Linked DNA regions of Oryzias latipes. The main gene of each other region encodes a partner of the protein of the gene in region 3 in a complex. Links are inferred from orthologs where the notes say so. Each region holds a gene or a part of one and is shown on either strand. Other genes may lie near its edges. The genes, in order: mapkap1, deptor, mtor and rptor.

Region 1 (4,556 bases), on a different chromosome or scaffold from region 3:
ACCTCCGTGTCAAAAAAAACCGCAACATTAGTTTGGAGACGCAGAATATCTGTTAGCAAGCACAGTTAGCTTACAAGCTGAAGCTGAGGAGCTAGTACTTACCCCGCGAGGCAATACGCAGAACGGACCGCTCACCTCGAGTTTCCCCGCGTGCTTTGGCTGGTTTTCAAAACATGTTGCCGCCCTGAAACCAACAGAGTGATCCTGAACTTTAGCTGAAGTGTTAATATTTACATGGTGTGTTTCCGGTTTCGTGTAGCTAAACCCAGAGCGAGGGCCCACAGCGAGATCCGCTGCTGACCGCAGATAGCTCCGCCCCCTCCCACCGACTGCTACGATGCTCTTCAGTGGACGCCTCGCAGAAAACCTTCCACTTTACAGGCTCCGATTCATTTGTTCTATGGTTTATAAGGGGGACGCAGACAAATGAGGAAAAAGAAATTCAGGAACAAAACACAGCGCAGAATAGGGATGCTTTAAAACTCATTTTACCACGTGGTTTCATCATTAAAGCGGATTGTGGAGAAAGCATTTTTGCATCCTCAAAGCAAACCATACTGTGGGGCTGAAAAGGTTCAAGCCAATGATAATTGTGTTTGGTTTTAACGTGTTCTTTTAACATTTCTCTGATGATTGAGGAAATGTATAGAGAACATTTAGCTCAAAACTGCATTTTTTTGTATTTCTTTATTCAAATTGTTGTGAATCAGGAGCAGACGAAAAAGTTCTGTTAGGTAATGTTTGCAATGTGGTTACATAAATATACTTTTATGTTTGTGTATATATATATCCAGACAAATACCAGTAGATCCAATTTTTTTACTGTAAGATTGGATAAAGGCACAGGCAGTGGGGGGCAATGCCCCCCTAAATACAGTGACTGCCCCCTAAATGTGATGGGCCACAAAAATCCACAAATAACTACAGGAATAAAAAAATAAAACAACTACAAGTCAAAAAAATGTAAGTATTTATGTATATGGAAGGACACACAGGCAAAGATACATAAAAAGAAAAAGGGTAGTGGTAGAGGGTGGTCTTCTTCAAACTGCTCCTGATTCCAAACAATTTGAATAAATAAACACTCAGAAATGCCATTTTAAGCTGAATTTTCATTATGGATGTCCTCTATCATCAGAAAAATGAGAACATGAACATGTCAAAAACATGTTCTTGTGGCAAAAAATAAGAATTTCACCAGAGTGGGTCTTTAAAGAGAGAGATGGAAATCTGTTGACAGGTTCCACAAGTGTAATGGAAAGATGGAAGAACTTTGAAGATCTCAAAAATATCCATGTAAATAGAAAAGGTTCTTGCAAATTTTTGCTGCGATAATTCTTTTTACTCATGATCGCACGATTTTGCAGCCACATTTCTATTTCATGTGATGATACTTTGAACTTGCAAAAGCATAATTTTATCTTGCTCTGGCATCTCTCTCTCTTTTTTAACTTTTCTTTATTTTTTCACTTTCTAGTGTGAAGTGCATTTGGATGTGTGCACAACATTTTGTAAACGCTGAAATACTAGTAAGGAATAAAGGTGCATATAATTCAGTGTTCCTTTACTTTCACTGCCTCGGTCAGTGAACTGCTCTTGTGCGTGTTTTTCGTTTGGTGGCTCTTTTATTGTGAAGAGATTACACCGGAAGTCAAAAGGATGTCTTCCTGGTTGCACGAGCGCAGCAGATTGCATTGGCTTTCGGTTGTTTTGAGACTTTAATGCATTGAATTGTTTTTCACGGATGTAACGACTCGTCGGCCAAATAAGTAGACTGGATGAGATGGAGGGACGTGGACTCTGCTGTGTCTCGTCAGAAAAACGTAGAGGTGGGATCTTCTTTCTGTTCATACCACTGCTATTGCTAACTGACTCGGGAGAGATAATCGTTAGCTTGAGTTTAGTCACCGCTAACCGACTGTAATGCGATCTGTAAGCTGTTCCTGTCATGTTACACGCTTATAAAGTATGAATCACTTCAGTCTGTAGATCCTCCTGCTACTTTTTGGAGCAGCTGAAATGGATTTTGTTGTAATTCAGCTGGTTTAAGTGAGCCATTTTGGTTAGGAAAACAAGGTGCTGCTAACGCAAAACATGATGATGATCTGATAAATGTACACAGAACTTTTTAATCCGATTGTTTAACTTCTACCTTCTTAAAATGATAAACTCCGACACAAATTTGTATTTACTGACATGTGGTGTTTGTTTCAGTTGTGTCGTGTGTTTTACACGAGCGTGTTTTTCCTGTGAGAACTTTCCCCAGATAAGACTGTGTCCTCAGCTGAAATGACCGTCAGACATCATTTACAGCTGTTACAGTGGGAACTGTTACGTCATCACAGTGATTTCTGTGCTCATAATCCGTTTTCTTGATGGTGAAGTGTTCTTCTCAGCTGCCCATGCGCTCAGCGCCGTCATCTGCCTGTTGTAGCTGTCAACATCCGTGTTTAGACTAAACACTGTGAACAAACTTCGTGTTTTCAGATGTGACACGACTTCTGATTCTTCAAAAAAAAAAAAGTTAGCGTTGTGCCCAAACACTAAAAAACACTGGCATTTGTCTGATGATAGAGGACATATATAAAGAAAATTAGGCTCAAAACTGTATTTCTGAGTATTTCTGTGTTCACGTAGTTGTGAATCAGGAGCAGACAAAGAAATGCTGTTAGAAAAAGCTTGTTGTAACTGAAGCTACTGCAGAAAGCCACAAGCTTCCTGCCCCTCCTCATTCTAATGCATCCACTCATGGACAACTTGTTCCATGTACATCTTTGTTTTCCCTGTCTGAGCTGGAATCTGGATCAAAACTGTATGGCTGGACAGCGCCAATATTGCTCACCATTTTTATCGCAGTGCTCATGTTAAGGCCCGTACACACCGGGACGAATATTCGCCAGGCGTTATTCGCCAGCGTTTTTCGCCACGTTTTTTGTGTTCACACCCAGGCGATTTCCACTGACGATGAGCCGAGCGAACATGCAATTTCCTTCCCTGACATTAGATGGCGCTTAATGTAAACAGAAATACTCCTGTACACAAGGTGGCGCTGCGCAACTTTACGCTTATTAAAGTCGCTTTTCACTCAGAAGAAGAGAGCAAGTATTTACGCGCTTGTCAGAATCAAACAAAGAAAACATGAATATTTCAAGCACCAGTTGCTCCAACTGGTGCTTGGTTCGGGGATATTTTAGAATGTCCGTCATTATTTCTTCGCAGCAGTGTAGACGCTACTTGGCGTCTATCTTCTTCGCTGGTATGTGTGCTCAGCAAGGCAGTTTTGTGTTTGAGCGCCCCCAAGTTGTGTTTTACTGTAACTTCAGAAGCTCCAGACATGTGTGCAAAAGCGCCATTCTCATTGGTCGAATAGATTTCGACGCGACGCGTCGAAAAAAAAAAAACGAACCCGAGGCGTTTTTTTTTTTGACGCTTTGACGCCTGGCGTTTTTTCGCGTCGGTGTGCACACTCCCATTGGTGCCCTTTGTTTAGTCACGAGGCGTTAAACGTCGGCGAAAATCGCCAGCGAAATTCGTCCCGGTGTGAACGGGCCTTTAGGTTGGCGTTGTTAGAGGCTCTAAGCTAGTTGGAGAGACTGTAAACAGATTGGTGACGGGAAGTGGTGGTGGGCTAGCTATGTGCCACTGGTCAACTCAGAGAATCTCTAATGAACTCCTGCTGCTCTGCAGAAACCATGCCATAGAAAACTACACATAAAACAGCATAAACATAAAGAAAGACTTCTGAGAATGCTTTTTGCAATAGATCAAAAGATGATAGGAGCGGGACTTCAACATCAATATTGAAAATAACCAAAAAAACATGGTTCAAATACATTTTGGCAATTGACTGTATAAGAGAACTGGACTTGCCGACCCCTCCCCCTGGTGTTCCTAACAGGAAGTACGCGCTGGCCCCAAGAAGCCAAAATCCTATAGACTTCTATATAGAAATAAACAGCTGTTAATCAGTCATTCTGTTGGTCAGAATAACCATTCTTGCTCCGATACCTTTTTTGAACATGTTCTTGATAATCCTATTTTTTCTAATAATATTTTTTCTTTAGTACAAGCTAATCATGTTATAAACTGACCAATCATGGGTCTCAATAAAAGCGTGTGGCCTCATGTTCAAAGATTGATTAACAGATTTTGTGCAGTCCGCTTTAAGTGGTAGGGGTGTGGCCTTTCAACAAGCTCTCTCTGGATTTGTGAGAGTGGTTGCCATAACAATGTTGACTCTGATTGTCTTAGACCAATCACTCCTTGCTAACATTGTCTGACTCCCAACCTGGCGACGTCCACATTGCAAAAAATGGTGACTGAAGTTACTTCAATTGGTTGGAACCAGAAGTAAGCCAATTTTCTGTGAGTGACGTCACACTTACTCTGTCCAGTTCTCATATTCAGTCAATGAGTTGGATTGACCCACGCATTTCATAGTTCTAAACAAAAAGAAAATCTATATTCACAAACATTTTTCAAAACAAAACAAATATGTTCTAGTTGTCTGTCTGATCGTTTTTCTGGTTGTTTTCCTTTTTACAGGGCCTTTTACA
Region 2 (4,113 bases), on a different chromosome or scaffold from region 3:
GGTGGCTGACAGGGCTCACACTACATACAAAAGAAAAAACGCAATGGCATTACCCAAAGCACAACGAAATTACCCGCAACACAACGACGTAAACGCAGCAATAGCATTAACCTCAGCACAACGGAAATTAGGACTTTTTTTTCCTACCAGCGGAAAAAAAATCAATTTCAAACTATTCGGTGCGACGGAGTTTTAGAATTTTGAGAAAGAATTTTCTATGCCCTTTTTTTTCTTTCTTTCTCCATGGCCCTAATCCTCTTCTGTAAGCAGGTGTACGGAAAAAAACTCGTAATTTTGCGAGATTAAATTGGAAGTGAGCAGCAAGTGAACGCCGCGCAGCAGCAGAGCAGACCGACTAAACTTAGCTCTACACCGGCTTTCTAATGTTCTAAAGGCACTACAAATAAAGTTCCATACAAAGTGACTCTTATTATGTCTATAAAAGTAGTCTAAAGTCAAGCAGTTCAGTGATTACGTGTAGTTGATTGAGAAATTCCAATTAATCGATTGACCGCCCAGCCCAACTTCAGGGCTTTTGTTTTCACAGCTCGGTTTCTATACTGTAAATGTCCGTCTTGGTGTCATAATAATCCACCCGGACACAAACGGCAATTATTCATTTCTCCTTCGGGATCATGTCTCCAAGTGTTGGAACTTCTGTGTTTTGAAAAAGACGCTACCCACCAGTCACTCTCGAGTCCGAGTCCCTGATTGGTCACAGTGCTGCGTTGCAGCGTTCAGGCATGATAAAGTTCAGCCGATTGAACTTTCAGCACGCGATCAATGAACGCCTAACTTTCACATACAGCCCGCGACTTGCCTTAAAACGTAAAATGATCACGGGCGTTCCAGACGTGGGAGACGGAAATTCGGGTCTATGCACGTTTGCATGGAATTTTCATTGAAAGTGGCCGCATAAATGCGAGTCGACGCGGTCAATCTGATGTTATTTGGCTGATAAACGGTAGATCTAACAGGTTGATCTTTCCACATAACCCCTGTTCCAAGTCCATCCATGAGTTGGTTTCTGGATTGGTTTTCAACCATTTTAAGATGTATTGTAATCTATTTACAAGAAAGACGCTGTGGAAATTAGGTAACTCTAAGCCTCCAAAGCTTTTTGCAGATTTGAATGTTTTAGACCAATTATTGCTGGTTTGTTGTACCATAAGAAGCTTGATATGGATGAGTCGAATGCTTTGAACCATTTTAGTAAATATAGCAAAAAGAGAGGGGGAGAGTCTGGTTCCTCTTCCAAGAAAAAAGCTGTCAAAAGTCTGTTAGTTCTAACTGCTTCAATCTGTTGAAGCATCTCCTCCACCTCCTCCTCAGCCTCTCCTTCTGCTACTCTCATTTTCCTAGAGTTCCTGCTTTTGGATGGTGTTCAACCAAATAAAAGGAAATGTTTCCTTTAATGTCTCTTCTACACAAAGACAGAAAACAAACAAAAGCAGCGATGTCTGCCATGGCTGGTCAGTATTTGTCCATGTATACACATTTTTGTGTTTTTTAAATTAGTACATGAGGCTCATATGCTGGGAACACAGAAATTATCCTCCTGGACTGCAGCCAAAAACTGGGATTTGTAGATGAGTTGCCAGGCAACCGTGAGGTGAAGAAACTCCCAGAGAGCATTGAACAAAGTTTGCCAAAATGTCAAACTGTTCCTTTAAGACTGTGATGTTTTTCAGCTTATGTTGATTTGAAATCTATGCATAAACTTTGTTTTTAGTTCAAAATTACTCTTATATCTTATGTTATGTTGTTGTACAAAAACAATATTATTCATGTTGTGTTGAAAGTAGAATAAATCAGACCATATTAAGCGACTTTCGAAGTCTGAGTGGGTATGAAAGTGGTTTAAATTTTTTTTTATGGTCTGCAATCGAATTTCTATGGGTGTGTGTTTCCCCTTTGTCCCCATGCTGAGGCTTCTGAGCCAACACTTTACAATCTCCACGATCCCTCTGTGTGCAGGATTCCTCAGCCAAAGTGCCCGGCGGACGTGAAACCAGAGCTGGCTGCGAGGATGAGCGCACAACTCCGTTTCAGGCACAGCCCGCTGCAGAGCCGTGAAAACAGCTCAACAGAACCGATCGCAAATATAAACATGTAAAGCAGAGAAGAACTGATATCATTTCTTTCCTCGTTTCCTCTTTCGAAGCGGCGTGTTTACCCTCCGCCACATCTCTGTATTTCCTCATCTTCCACAACTACGCCTCCTGTCCCTCAGTCAATCATTAAAGCCACTGTGGAGCCTGTGGCCTCTTTCTTCTGGAGCAAACAGAGATAATCCGTCACAGTTTTCCAGAAGATTTGTTTTTCTGTCTTGGATAAAGTACGGGACGTTTTAATCTTAGCTGATCTCTTTGGATGTTAATAGGATAACAGTCATTCTATTCGTCCAGTCTTTGATTTCCACTTTGATCTGAAACTTTTTTCTCTTGGTTTTAGCAGCTTTAATGAGTCCACTTTCCCCCCTCTTTACAATGATTCCTTGCTGTCGTTCTTATCCACAGATCTTTATGAGGCCGCAAGGCTACAATTATATTCCTTTTGTTTTTCCTCAACATTTATTCAGCTTGATTGTGAACTCACAGCTGCTACCTGGCTGCAAAAAGAACTGGTATGCACATAATTATTTATTTCTCCTTGCAAATCTCTTCTGCTTCAGCAGTTGAAAGAAATATTTTTACAATTTTGTCATAAAACAAGATCAGTTAATTTGCCATCTACAGCCTAAAAGCCATATGTAGTAATATGATTATATAATGATGTTCAATAATGGTTATGGTGATGCAAAAAAACAAATTAAACTGACAGATTTAAAGCGAATGAGAAAGAAGTCAGGTCATCAAAAAGAAAGTACAACAAAGTACAAAAGCTGAGCACCAGCCCCTCACAATCCACAAAAACGAGCGGGTCCTCACATTGAAACATAGGCAAGTGAGAACAGCCCCTTCCAAGAAGAGTCTGCGCTGCCAGCTCCGCCCCCAGGCAAACACACACCCTGATTTAACCGTGAAGCTAGCTGTGTTTGGCAAAAACCCTCTCAGATCCAAAAATACTAACTATTGCTCTACAAACCAAGTCAGGGCGTCACAAAAATCTTTATTTTTTTTCACTTTCCTTTGATTGTAGGAAACAAAACCGACCTAAAGCATTTGAGTAAGCTTAAGAGTTTGTCCAAAGTCTTCTATTGCCCAAACTTTGATAGATAACATTTTATGCAGTAGGTCACACTCAAAAAACATGCCTGAATATTGTAAATACGTCACGAAAACACACAAACATTGCAAAACATTTCACTTCCACAATCAATCCTTCCAGACTCATTTAGCTGGAGATTGGTACACTTGCAGAATTAATAAGTTTAGATCCATATCTCCAAACTTGAGTGAAAGCCAGTGCCTGAGAAATCGAGTGGACTTACATGCGCACCAGTTTGTTTCTCGTCCGCACCACATACTTTGCTTTTGCGCATAAGAGCAATGAGCAGCAAACTGGTGCGCACGAAAAAGTATCTGGGACTTTCTGATGCTTCTTTCATCCGTACCTTCATGCCAGCAGCAGCTGCCGGTCCACTGGGATCCACAGCTTGAATGTGACACGGTTTGCTGCCTCGCACCACAAAGCCCCAACCGACAGCATCGCCGATGATCTGAGACACAACAGGAGTGTTTCTTTATTTTTATATAACTCCTTTTGCAACAAATATTTTTTCTAAACATCAAGAGAGAACATCAAGATATGAGGTCTAAGTAACTTTTCATGACCACAAACATTTGTGTAATACGGGATGCAGTTTGTGTGTGTGCACATTCTGTGTTTGTGTCCTACAGTGAATGTTTTCTTGGCAAAAGATCCTCCTGGTTTCTGCAGCTCCTCTGGAGTCACGTGTCTCTTAACGACTGTAAGAGAAACACAGAATGCCTTTCTTTTCTATACATCTGAATAGTAGAACAGTAAAAAAAATAAAAAAAACACATGTGGGCAAGCATTAGGTCACATGCACACACGTGTCAGTGTGATGGTAAATGTAGATGCCGCTCACATGCTGACAGAGACTGGAGGCCCTCTGTTTCCTGAAACACCAGCTTCTCTTTTTTCAAC
Region 3 (4,113 bases):
GTCCTGATATTTGGACCTCCGGGAACCGGAGACAAATCCCCCAAATTCAGTCCCAATAACTCTGAGTACATTTCCAGAAAGCAGAAGAACTTACTTTCACAATGCGGCATATGAGAATGTCGTAGCGCTGGTGATTGATCCTGTGCTTCAGCATCACTTTGTTCACCATGGGGATAAATATCTGGTACTGAAAATAAGCAGAAAGAGAGGCCATGTAAACAAAGACTACACATGCTTGATGCGGTGGGCCCAGCTACAGTTTTTTCCTTTCTCCATAAAGTAAATAGAGGGCCATGCGGCACTAACATGCAACCTCCATGAGTGACGGATCAAAAGCCTTTCCTGTGGCTTTGCTGCCAGTCATGACTGGAAGGAGGCCTGGTGGTTCTGAGGTTAGACCTCAGGACAATAAAAAGAGTGAAGAGGAGAAGGGTCTTGAGAGCCCAGGGTACATGTGTCCTCATCCACTCTCATAAACAACACCCCCTGCTGGCAAACAGTCTGTGACATCATTAGTCTGGCAGGAAGTAGCAGAGACTGAGGAGGGTTACGGAAACCTGGTTCATGTCTGGCCAACAGAGTAGAGGCCGGCCTACAGAATAACAGCACACTCCAGGGACCAATGTGCCTACCTTCTTTCCCAACTGGAAAACCAGTGAGGACAGGGTGTCCATGGAGGTGGACCGTAACTCAGGAGTGCTGTCAAGCGCCCTAACGATGGGGTGAATGATGCGAGAAGCGTAGTCTGTGAAGTCCAGGGACTCCGTCAGCCTGTCGAGGGTCTCCAAGGCAACCCTGAACCACACAAGAAAACAGGAAACCGATCCGGTTCACATGAAAACGTGCTCACAAACAGAGCTATCTGAGGCGCTTTAGCGCCGCTCTCTACATGAAAGAACAGGAACCACCAGGAAACGCCTGCTTTTAGCTCCGTATCATCCACACCTGGTTCTTCTCACGTCACAGTTTACTTTCATTTACAGCGTTCCCTCGTTTTAGCAGGCATACGTCCTAAAAATGACCCGCGACCGATGAATCTGTGAAGCAGCATAGATGTTTAACTCAACGCTGCACACTTTCTACACTCTTCTCAGGCAGACCTCAACATTTTCCACACTTTTCTCTTTTGGTTAAAGACTCTCAAAGTTCAAACCTTCATGGAAAAAACCGTCCAGAAACATAGATCTGATCATGATCGAAGATTTAGCCAATGACACGGATTGATTGACAAAGTCTACAGCCAATCAGGACACAGAACGCAATGCAAAATTAAAAAACAATAATAAAAGGATCCAACATTTTCCAGAATAAAAGTCTGTGAAAGAGCGAGACGGTGAAAGGTGGACCGCGATACAGCGAGGGAACACGGCATTCCTATGGAGCTGTATTTATGCCGCCGCGTTGCACACAAAACTCTTCAGGTTGCAAATAAAAATATTAAATATTTGCTGTCAAATTATTTTTCTTTGCTTTCAATTTTTCTTTTCCGTTTGATGGCAGCTTTGTCAGCTAAACAAACTTATGAGAGCAAAATCAAAGATAGGAAAACAGCGAGATGAGTCACAACGCATGAGAAAACATTTGTGTTGCAAACGGAAACATTTTATTTGAAAGCAAATATTTAATATTTTCATTTGCCACTACAACGTGAGATGTCACTCCATATGGGATGAAAGTCAGAACTCACTTGCGGGCCTGCAGGGGAACGTCGGGGGCATCAAATAGTTTGACAATGGGGGGCAGCAGCAGGTGAAGGTAGTCGTCCAGGTTAGCACCAAACAGCTGGATGGCATTTAGCAGCTGCAAGAACAACATGGATGAAGACTCCAAACCCCCCCCCCCCCCACACACACACACACCCCTCACCCGCCCCCCCCCCACGAGGAGTCAAAGGAAGAGTTAATGACTCTAAAGTCATCCAAATCCTGTAAAAAGTTCAATATATGGTTTGAAATAAACTCTGGTTCATCTGGTAAAAGTGATATGAGAGGAGCAAAGGATCATGGGAAAACTTTCCAGAACAGTATAGGCCTTTTTGGTTCTACAGTAAAAATCCTTGTGTGAAGAATGCAGACACTCTGGGGTCTTAAAAGGATGACGTATGCTGCAGACAACCCCCCTCCCAGCATCTCTGCCCCCCCCAGCAGCCTATGTCTAAAGGGCACATGGCGAGACGGCAGGAAGCTGAAGTGAAGGCGTACGAGTATTTATGGATATGCTGTAGGATGGGGGGGGTGGGGGTGGGAGCTGAAAAAGATTTGAAAAAAATGGAAAAGTTTGTTTTCCTTTTCCTTTGGACCAGAACCTGACACCCCCTCTGCCGCCCCCGTGAATCCATGAACTGCAATTACAGACTCTGCAGACCAGACAGAACCAAACGGATTCCCACAAACTCCAGTAAAGCTGCAGTGCTGCAGGTCCATGGAGTTTTTACTGATGCACTAAAGCTGGGGGTTGGTGGGGGGGGGGGGGGGGTGACTGGCTCTGGTCAGAGCCTCAGTAAGTTGGCGGTAAACTGATCTGTGGTTCTGCAGGAGCATGGAGTGAAGGAGGACCATTTGAAACTGTTCTGGACGGAATCTGCAAAGACCTGTATTGACGTTTTGGAGGTTGAACCTCATGGATGCATCTTAGGACTGTTACGGGTCACATGCAGGCGGGAGGAAGGGCCCCCACAGGACTGCTGTGCATGCTGCAGGTCCCTGCTGGGGTCAGTTCCAACAGGGAGCTGCTCAGCAGGCATGTTAGTCTCGGTGACAGGAAGAAGGAGAACCGACCTACTAAGGCTCAGTGCATAGATCTATACACGGACAGATACCACAGTTGGAGAAAACCTCACAGGACCGTTAGAAAACACAGCTCAACAGCAGCAGCACAGAGCTCCAGCACGCGGAAACACCCACCTTGATGGTTACGCTGCGGCCGGTGCTGTTGTCGTGCATGAAAACGCGCAGCATGTGTGGGATGAGCTGAGGCAGGTAGAGCTTGAACTCTCCACCGAGCGCCACCACAATCTGCTCGATCAGGAGGATGATGGTGTTCTGCATGGGGTTGTTGGGAGTCCAGTACTCCTGCAGCACAGAAGCCCAGTTCTGGTGTCATTTGCTGTGTTCTTCAGTGTTGAATCACACAAACATTAGTTTAACATTAAATGCCAACAGCCTGTGATCTTTCTTCATTCCCCTGTCCCGTTTACAGCGGGAGACGGACCAGACCAGCATTTGGTAACAAACCTCACAAAGACAAAACACAACCCAACGCCAACGGCAACACAACCCGACACAAACACAACCCACACCCTTCCAGCCTGGATCCACACAACTGCAGGAGATCCTCACAAGATGCTGAGACGCTTCTGTGCAAACTTAAAGGCAGGATTGGATCCTTTCAGTTTATTTTTGTCTTGCTGTTGAGGATCTTGAACCCTGGGAACCTGCTGCTTCTTTTCTTGGTTCGATCACATTGACGCACAGCAATGCCTCAAAATAAACGCTTCAATAAAATCAACGTAAAGAGAATTTCGTACTTTGAAGTCTTTCTGTGTGTCTTAATACTTTAACATTTACATAGAACTTCAGTGATTTGTTGATTTGAAGCTATTTTCAGAGATAAAAATAAAGGAAAAAGACTATAGAACTATCAAATCCATTTAAGATGTTAATTTATAGATTGATTGGAGGGTAAAAAAATAAAGAATAAAGCCTTGGAGAGGTCTTCATAACAGATATTTGTCCATCAGGGTGACGTCAAAGAAATAGAGATACAAGAAGAAAAGTCAATTAGTCTGCATAATTGTGGGATAGATTAGATGTTGGAGCCAGACGTCGTCAGCAAGTAGTGATTGGTCTGAGTCGCTATGAGTCATCAATTCTATGGCCACCACTTCTGGCCAATCAGGAGTGAGCTTGTTGGAAGGCCACACCCCTACCACTTGAAGGTGGGCTACACAAAATCTGTCAAACGTTCGATAACTTAAACTACAGAAAAAATATTTATGAAAAAAAATGAGGATTATCAAGATGTTCAGAAAAGTTAGATCCAGAACGGTTCTTCTGACCATTTTGGCTTCTTGAAGCCACATCCTGTTTGGAACGCCAAGGGGGAGGGGCCTCT
Region 4 (4,113 bases), on a different chromosome or scaffold from region 3:
CGGCAAACTTCTCTCAAACAGCATTCCTTAATCTACTTGAAGTACCAAAAGACAAGCAGAGAAAAATGAGCTGCTGGATGACCTCTATTGTTGTTGTTAGCTAAACCGGACTGGTGAAAACGAGGTTTAACGATAACTGCTGTTAAGTAAAAATGCAAAATAGATGGCAAAAGTAATTTATAGTTGCAGAAATCTGGGGGGGGGAAAGACTCTCAGAACAAAAGTGTTTAAAGCCACATCAACCCCAAACTCTGATCATCTTCAACATTTAATTTAAGAAGAAAGTTGTAGCAAAAATAATGAAAGTCTTAGGCTTTAAACAGCAACTGTATCTGTACAGTAAATGTTCTGATGATCTTTTACTCTGATTGTTACTATTTCCTTCACTAACTGAATCCTCAGTAGCCCTCCTTTAAAGTTATGTTTGTGTCTGAACTCACTCACTACTCCCTGGTTAGAGCACTTTATAAGGCCCTCATCATTTTGTCGGAATCCGAATCAACAATTCTAACATCCAGTGACCCGGAGATTTCTCTGTGCGCACTGATGCTCACTAAATTGGTGAGTATAGACCTATGCGTTGTGGTTGAACGAAAAATATTTATGAAGTTTATTTATTTATTTAATTATAGAAGTTTTCATCATCAGATACAGTTGAGTCTTTGTCAAATGTTAATATTTGCTAGGTTTTAGTTTGGCTAATGTCATAGGTGACATTTAAAAAACTTAAAAAATAAAAATAAAATAAAAAGTATTCAGCGTGCTTCTGAATTAATGCATAATGGATAGTCTGGCACTACTGCTTATTGCCTTTTGAGTAGTACCGAGGGAATTCGGACATGTGATCTTTATCATGTTCTCTCATCCTCTATTTCCCAGCTTTCCCTGGGGTCTCACCTTCCTCGTTGAGATTGAGGTTCTGCAGACTTTTATTCAGATTCCGGGCGGTGGTGACAGCTCGGATGTTGGTGTAGGAGTTGACAGATCGCAGGCGGGGGATGGCGGGACTGTCCCTTACTGGCGTGAGGTTCCCAGGCTCTAATCAGCAGCAGACAGCAACAGGTTAGAGCATTAAAAAAAAAAAAAAAAAAAAGCTCTTCTCTTCTCACAAAAGGATTTACGAATAGATTCCAAATTACAGGATAGGTTAGGGAAAAAGAGTAATTACTGTCCTAGAATTCAGTGCTCCCCCGGTGTATAAAGCAACAGGATTGGTTGATTAAACCCCAGTGAGGTTTCAAACAAAAGTGTGGTCCATGAATGTAGAACTTCCTCATAAACTTACCCCTGCAACCCCTACACACCTGACTGAGAAGAGAAGCTTATTTCCAGCTTTAGATCCCTTGAGCTCCTCCTTAAATTTATTCTAAACCCTGTGATGGATAAACGCAAAACATATTTGGAAAAACACGCTTCATCTCCACCTCCATCTCAACGGTTTCAGACTGGAAAGTCCTTTTCAAGTCATGTTTTTGTCAGAAGGAGGAGGAAAAAAACTGCCAGAACAATGTGGAGAAATGGCATAAGCTGCGATTGCTGACATGTTTTAGCAGCTGCTGCTATGAAGTTTGGGAGACAAGGCGCTGGTGTCGCCAGGTGTGTACCTGTAGTGTTAGCGGGTGACGGCACCGAGTAGTTCTTCTCTTCTTCTATAAACTGGAGGGCAACTGTGCAGAAGTTGCTTTCATACTGAACCACCAGGTGACTCAGCGCGACCACCAGCTCCTGAAAAAAAAATATAAACACATTCAGAGAATCCAGTAACTCCCAAACAGATTTTCTTCCTGTCATGTAGGACGGTTGCTTCCGTCAAGTCCATAAATTTCTCAAAGGGCTTTTTCCTGCTTATACCATGGCCACTTACCAAAGGAATAAATAGTACATAAATTATTAGTACTTCAATCTTGATTTTTTTTTAAACACTTATATCATGCTTTTCTTAAGCCTTTCAGAGTAAACCATATCCATATATATATATATATATATATATATATATATATATATATATTGATAAATATATGATAATATATATTACCTTTGGCACACTAAGGAACACATTTTTTTTAATTAAATATGAGTCATTTTTTTACAGTTACTGTAAAAACTCGATCTCTGAGGCACTGCCTTTTTCTCCTGTGACGTCAACCTAGAGCCCACGAAATCAAACATCCGAACTTTTGCAAAGATGGATGTACATATAAAATAAAAATGTTTAGTCAGTCACAGCTAGCTACCCTGAGAAAGTGTGTGTGTTAGCCTGGGAGCCGTGATGGCAGTGCAAAATCTTCCTGGAAGGGGCTGTTCTCACTTTGTGATGTCACAATGTGAGGACCCGCTTGTTTTTGTGGATTGGGAGGGGCTGGTGCTCAGAGTGCAGGATTTTAGAGGAATACTCAGAGATGCTGGAATGGAGCAAAATACCACTTTGGGGTTGAACATTATAATACACTTAAAAGCTAATAAAAAGGAATTTTGTCATGATATAGACCTTTAAATGTTTAATCAGTTTTTCACAAGAAGCAGACTTTTAAACATGGGCTGTGACTCATTGTCATGGTAATGGGTACAGAACCTCTCAATCTGCTGCAGATGATGTGAGGACTAACCAGCAGGGGAAAGCAGTAAAGGTGCAAAAATCCTGAAAAGTGATCCAAAGAATAATTTTCGAGGTAAGGTTCACCACTTGTTTTTATCCAGACAATGAAGCAAAAGTTTGTTTCAAAGAAGCCAGTACAGCGATACAGAACATATGGGCTATGTGAACGGAACTTCATATTTAGGTGTACATTATCACTGTCCATTATCACATTTTAGTTCACACCCAGCAGCCAATCAGAATCGAGTATTCCCCTGGACCATGGTATAAATCGTTATCACGTCTCGGATGTTTTCCTTTGATTATCTGTGGTTACACACATGGAAGTATCTTAGTTTAACTCAGAAATCTCCTCAAAACAAATGGTTTTGGAGTGCTAAAAGTGCTGCTTACACCTTCAGAGAAATGTTGCTTTTATTTGTAGAGAGTGGGAGGAGAGCTCTGCAGCTTCACTCCTGTCAGGGCTGTAAGTTTAAGACTCCAACTGGGAGGTAATTAGTTTTTAAGTTAGCATTCAGGAGGCAGGGGTAAACACTCACCCCATTCCTACAAACACATCTGATGAAGTTTCCAAAATGTCAGAAAATTGTCTTTGTCCAGCAATGTGATTTCTACGTTTGTTCTCAGAGAATAAACACCAGAAAAACTGTCTTTTAATGATTTAAATGTATATTTTTTGCATTAAAGTCAGCATTACAGCACACAGAGCTTAGCATGTGGATGTTTTTGTGCTTCACAGACCTTCCGGACCACAGGGCTGCCATCATTGATAAGCTGCGCCAGCATCATCGCCACGTTGTGGTCGATGGTGGTGGAGTGATCCGTCCTCTCTCCGGAGTTTCCGACAAATGTTCCCAGAGCAAAGACAGCTGCACACCTCACCTGCAGTCACACAAACCAGACAAAGAGCTCGTCTATCTGTCCTTCAGGGAGAACTTGGCTGTAATGACATTAATGAATTCCCGTCCGAGCTCAGTTTTCAGCCTTTGAAAGTCAAATATTTGCTCACCAGAATCACACAAAAATGCTTTAATGACTATAGAGACAAGTGGATGAAAGTATTCGAGGTCATTACAGTTCAATTTTCCGGCTCAGCGTGAGAGTGAAACGCAGAGATCATTAGTCCTGAAGCCTCTTTGTGCAGAGTTTTAACATTGACGCTTTTGTCTCTGCTTCAGTGAGTCTCTCAGAGAGAAGGGGGCGTGGCCACTCGGATAGACCTGATGGCTTTGTTTGGCGGGCCACGCCCATCGACAGTAAACAGAGTAAACATCTTTATGCTTCTATTTTTCTGACATATGGAAAAAAACATGCATAAAAGACAATAACTGTTTCTTTACTCCCTCTCAGAAAAGCCTCAATTAGGAAATTAGGTCACAAACTGAGCTAAAACTGAAGAAATATTTACCTAAATTTAGCTTTTAGCTAAAACATATGAGGAGTCCCATACTATGAATGTGCAACACTGATAAATAATCTTCACTTTCAACACAAAACTATAGATGACAGTTTGGATT

Evidence for each region.
Region 1: mtor (region 3) and mapkap1 share a complex: the UniProt entries of both Homo sapiens proteins name them as parts of the mechanistic target of rapamycin complex. The link is inferred for Oryzias latipes from reciprocal best matches to the Homo sapiens genes MTOR and MAPKAP1.
Region 2: the proteins of mtor (region 3) and deptor are in contact, whole or in part, in a cryo-EM structure (PDB 7PEC), measured with the Homo sapiens proteins. The link is inferred for Oryzias latipes from reciprocal best matches to the Homo sapiens genes MTOR and DEPTOR. Residues at the interface, in NP_001373429.1 of Homo sapiens: Met304, Gly305, Phe306, His1494, Cys1498, Trp1501, Gln1525, Asp1527, Ser1528, Glu1530, Glu1531, Cys1534, Met1535, Ile1536, Arg1538, Arg1547, Gln1554, Leu1556, Leu1559, Gln1562, Cys1563, Lys1566, Arg1683, Leu1685, Asp1686, His1687, Lys1710, Ile1711, Phe1714, Gln1715; in NP_073620.2 of Homo sapiens: Arg54, His56, Leu57, Lys58, Thr59, Tyr60, Pro61, Val101, Arg116, Lys119, Asp121, Gly122, Thr123, Phe124, Lys131, Ala132, Arg135, Arg138, Lys142, Glu177, Gly178, Glu179, Glu185, Cys304, Asn305, Lys307, Gly335, Asp336, Ala337, Val338.
Region 4: the proteins of mtor (region 3) and rptor are in contact, whole or in part, in a cryo-EM structure (PDB 6BCU), measured with the Homo sapiens proteins. The link is inferred for Oryzias latipes from reciprocal best matches to the Homo sapiens genes MTOR and RPTOR. Residues at the interface, in NP_001373429.1 of Homo sapiens: His597, Thr600, Pro632, Val644, Ser645, Gln646, Thr647, Ala648, Val649, Ala653, His686, Ala688, Gln689, Glu691, Met721, Asn722, Pro723, Ala724, Phe725, Met727, Pro728, Phe729, Arg731, Lys732, Leu734, Ile735, Leu738, Thr739, His743, Tyr771; in NP_065812.1 of Homo sapiens: Phe278, Lys282, Cys283, Ser285, Leu286, Pro288, Gln380, Ala381, Asp383, Leu384, Asp387, Glu411, Gln412, Thr414, Ala415, Val418, Trp419, Thr421, Met422, Arg427, Asn428, Glu431, Gln432, Lys973, Ile974, Asp979, Leu980, Glu981, Ser982, Lys986.

Annotation. Positions count from the first base shown.
Region 1 is NC_019870.2:25,040,234-25,044,789, forward strand, and holds the start of mapkap1 (target of rapamycin complex 2 subunit MAPKAP1), read left to right. Parts: upstream 1-1,643; 5' UTR 1,644-1,829; intron 1,830-4,545; 5' UTR 4,546-4,556. UniProt on the Homo sapiens protein: Component of the mechanistic target of rapamycin complex 2 (mTORC2), which transduces signals from growth factors to pathways involved in proliferation, cytoskeletal organization, lipogenesis and anabolic output.
Region 2 is NC_019874.2:10,131,095-10,135,207, reverse strand, and holds part of deptor (DEP domain-containing mTOR-interacting protein), read right to left. Parts: intron 3,912-4,113; coding exon 3,841-3,911; intron 3,662-3,840; coding exon 3,557-3,661; intron 1-3,556. UniProt on the Homo sapiens protein: Negative regulator of the mTORC1 and mTORC2 complexes: inhibits the protein kinase activity of MTOR, thereby inactivating both complexes. DEPTOR inhibits mTORC1 and mTORC2 to induce autophagy.
Region 3 is NC_019865.2:1,196,088-1,200,200, forward strand, and holds part of mtor (serine/threonine-protein kinase mTOR), read right to left. Parts: intron 3,072-4,113; coding exon 2,904-3,071; intron 1,801-2,903; coding exon 1,688-1,800; intron 796-1,687; coding exon 633-795; intron 188-632; coding exon 95-187; intron 1-94. UniProt on the Homo sapiens protein: Serine/threonine protein kinase which is a central regulator of cellular metabolism, growth and survival in response to hormones, growth factors, nutrients, energy and stress signals.
Region 4 is NC_019859.2:4,585,246-4,589,358, forward strand, and holds part of rptor (regulatory-associated protein of mTOR), read right to left. Parts: intron 3,479-4,113; coding exon 3,338-3,478; intron 1,726-3,337; coding exon 1,605-1,725; intron 1,374-1,604; coding exon 1,305-1,373; intron 1,039-1,304; coding exon 898-1,038; intron 1-897. UniProt on the Homo sapiens protein: Component of the mechanistic target of rapamycin complex 1 (mTORC1), an evolutionarily conserved central nutrient sensor that stimulates anabolic reactions and macromolecule biosynthesis to promote cellular biomass generation and growth.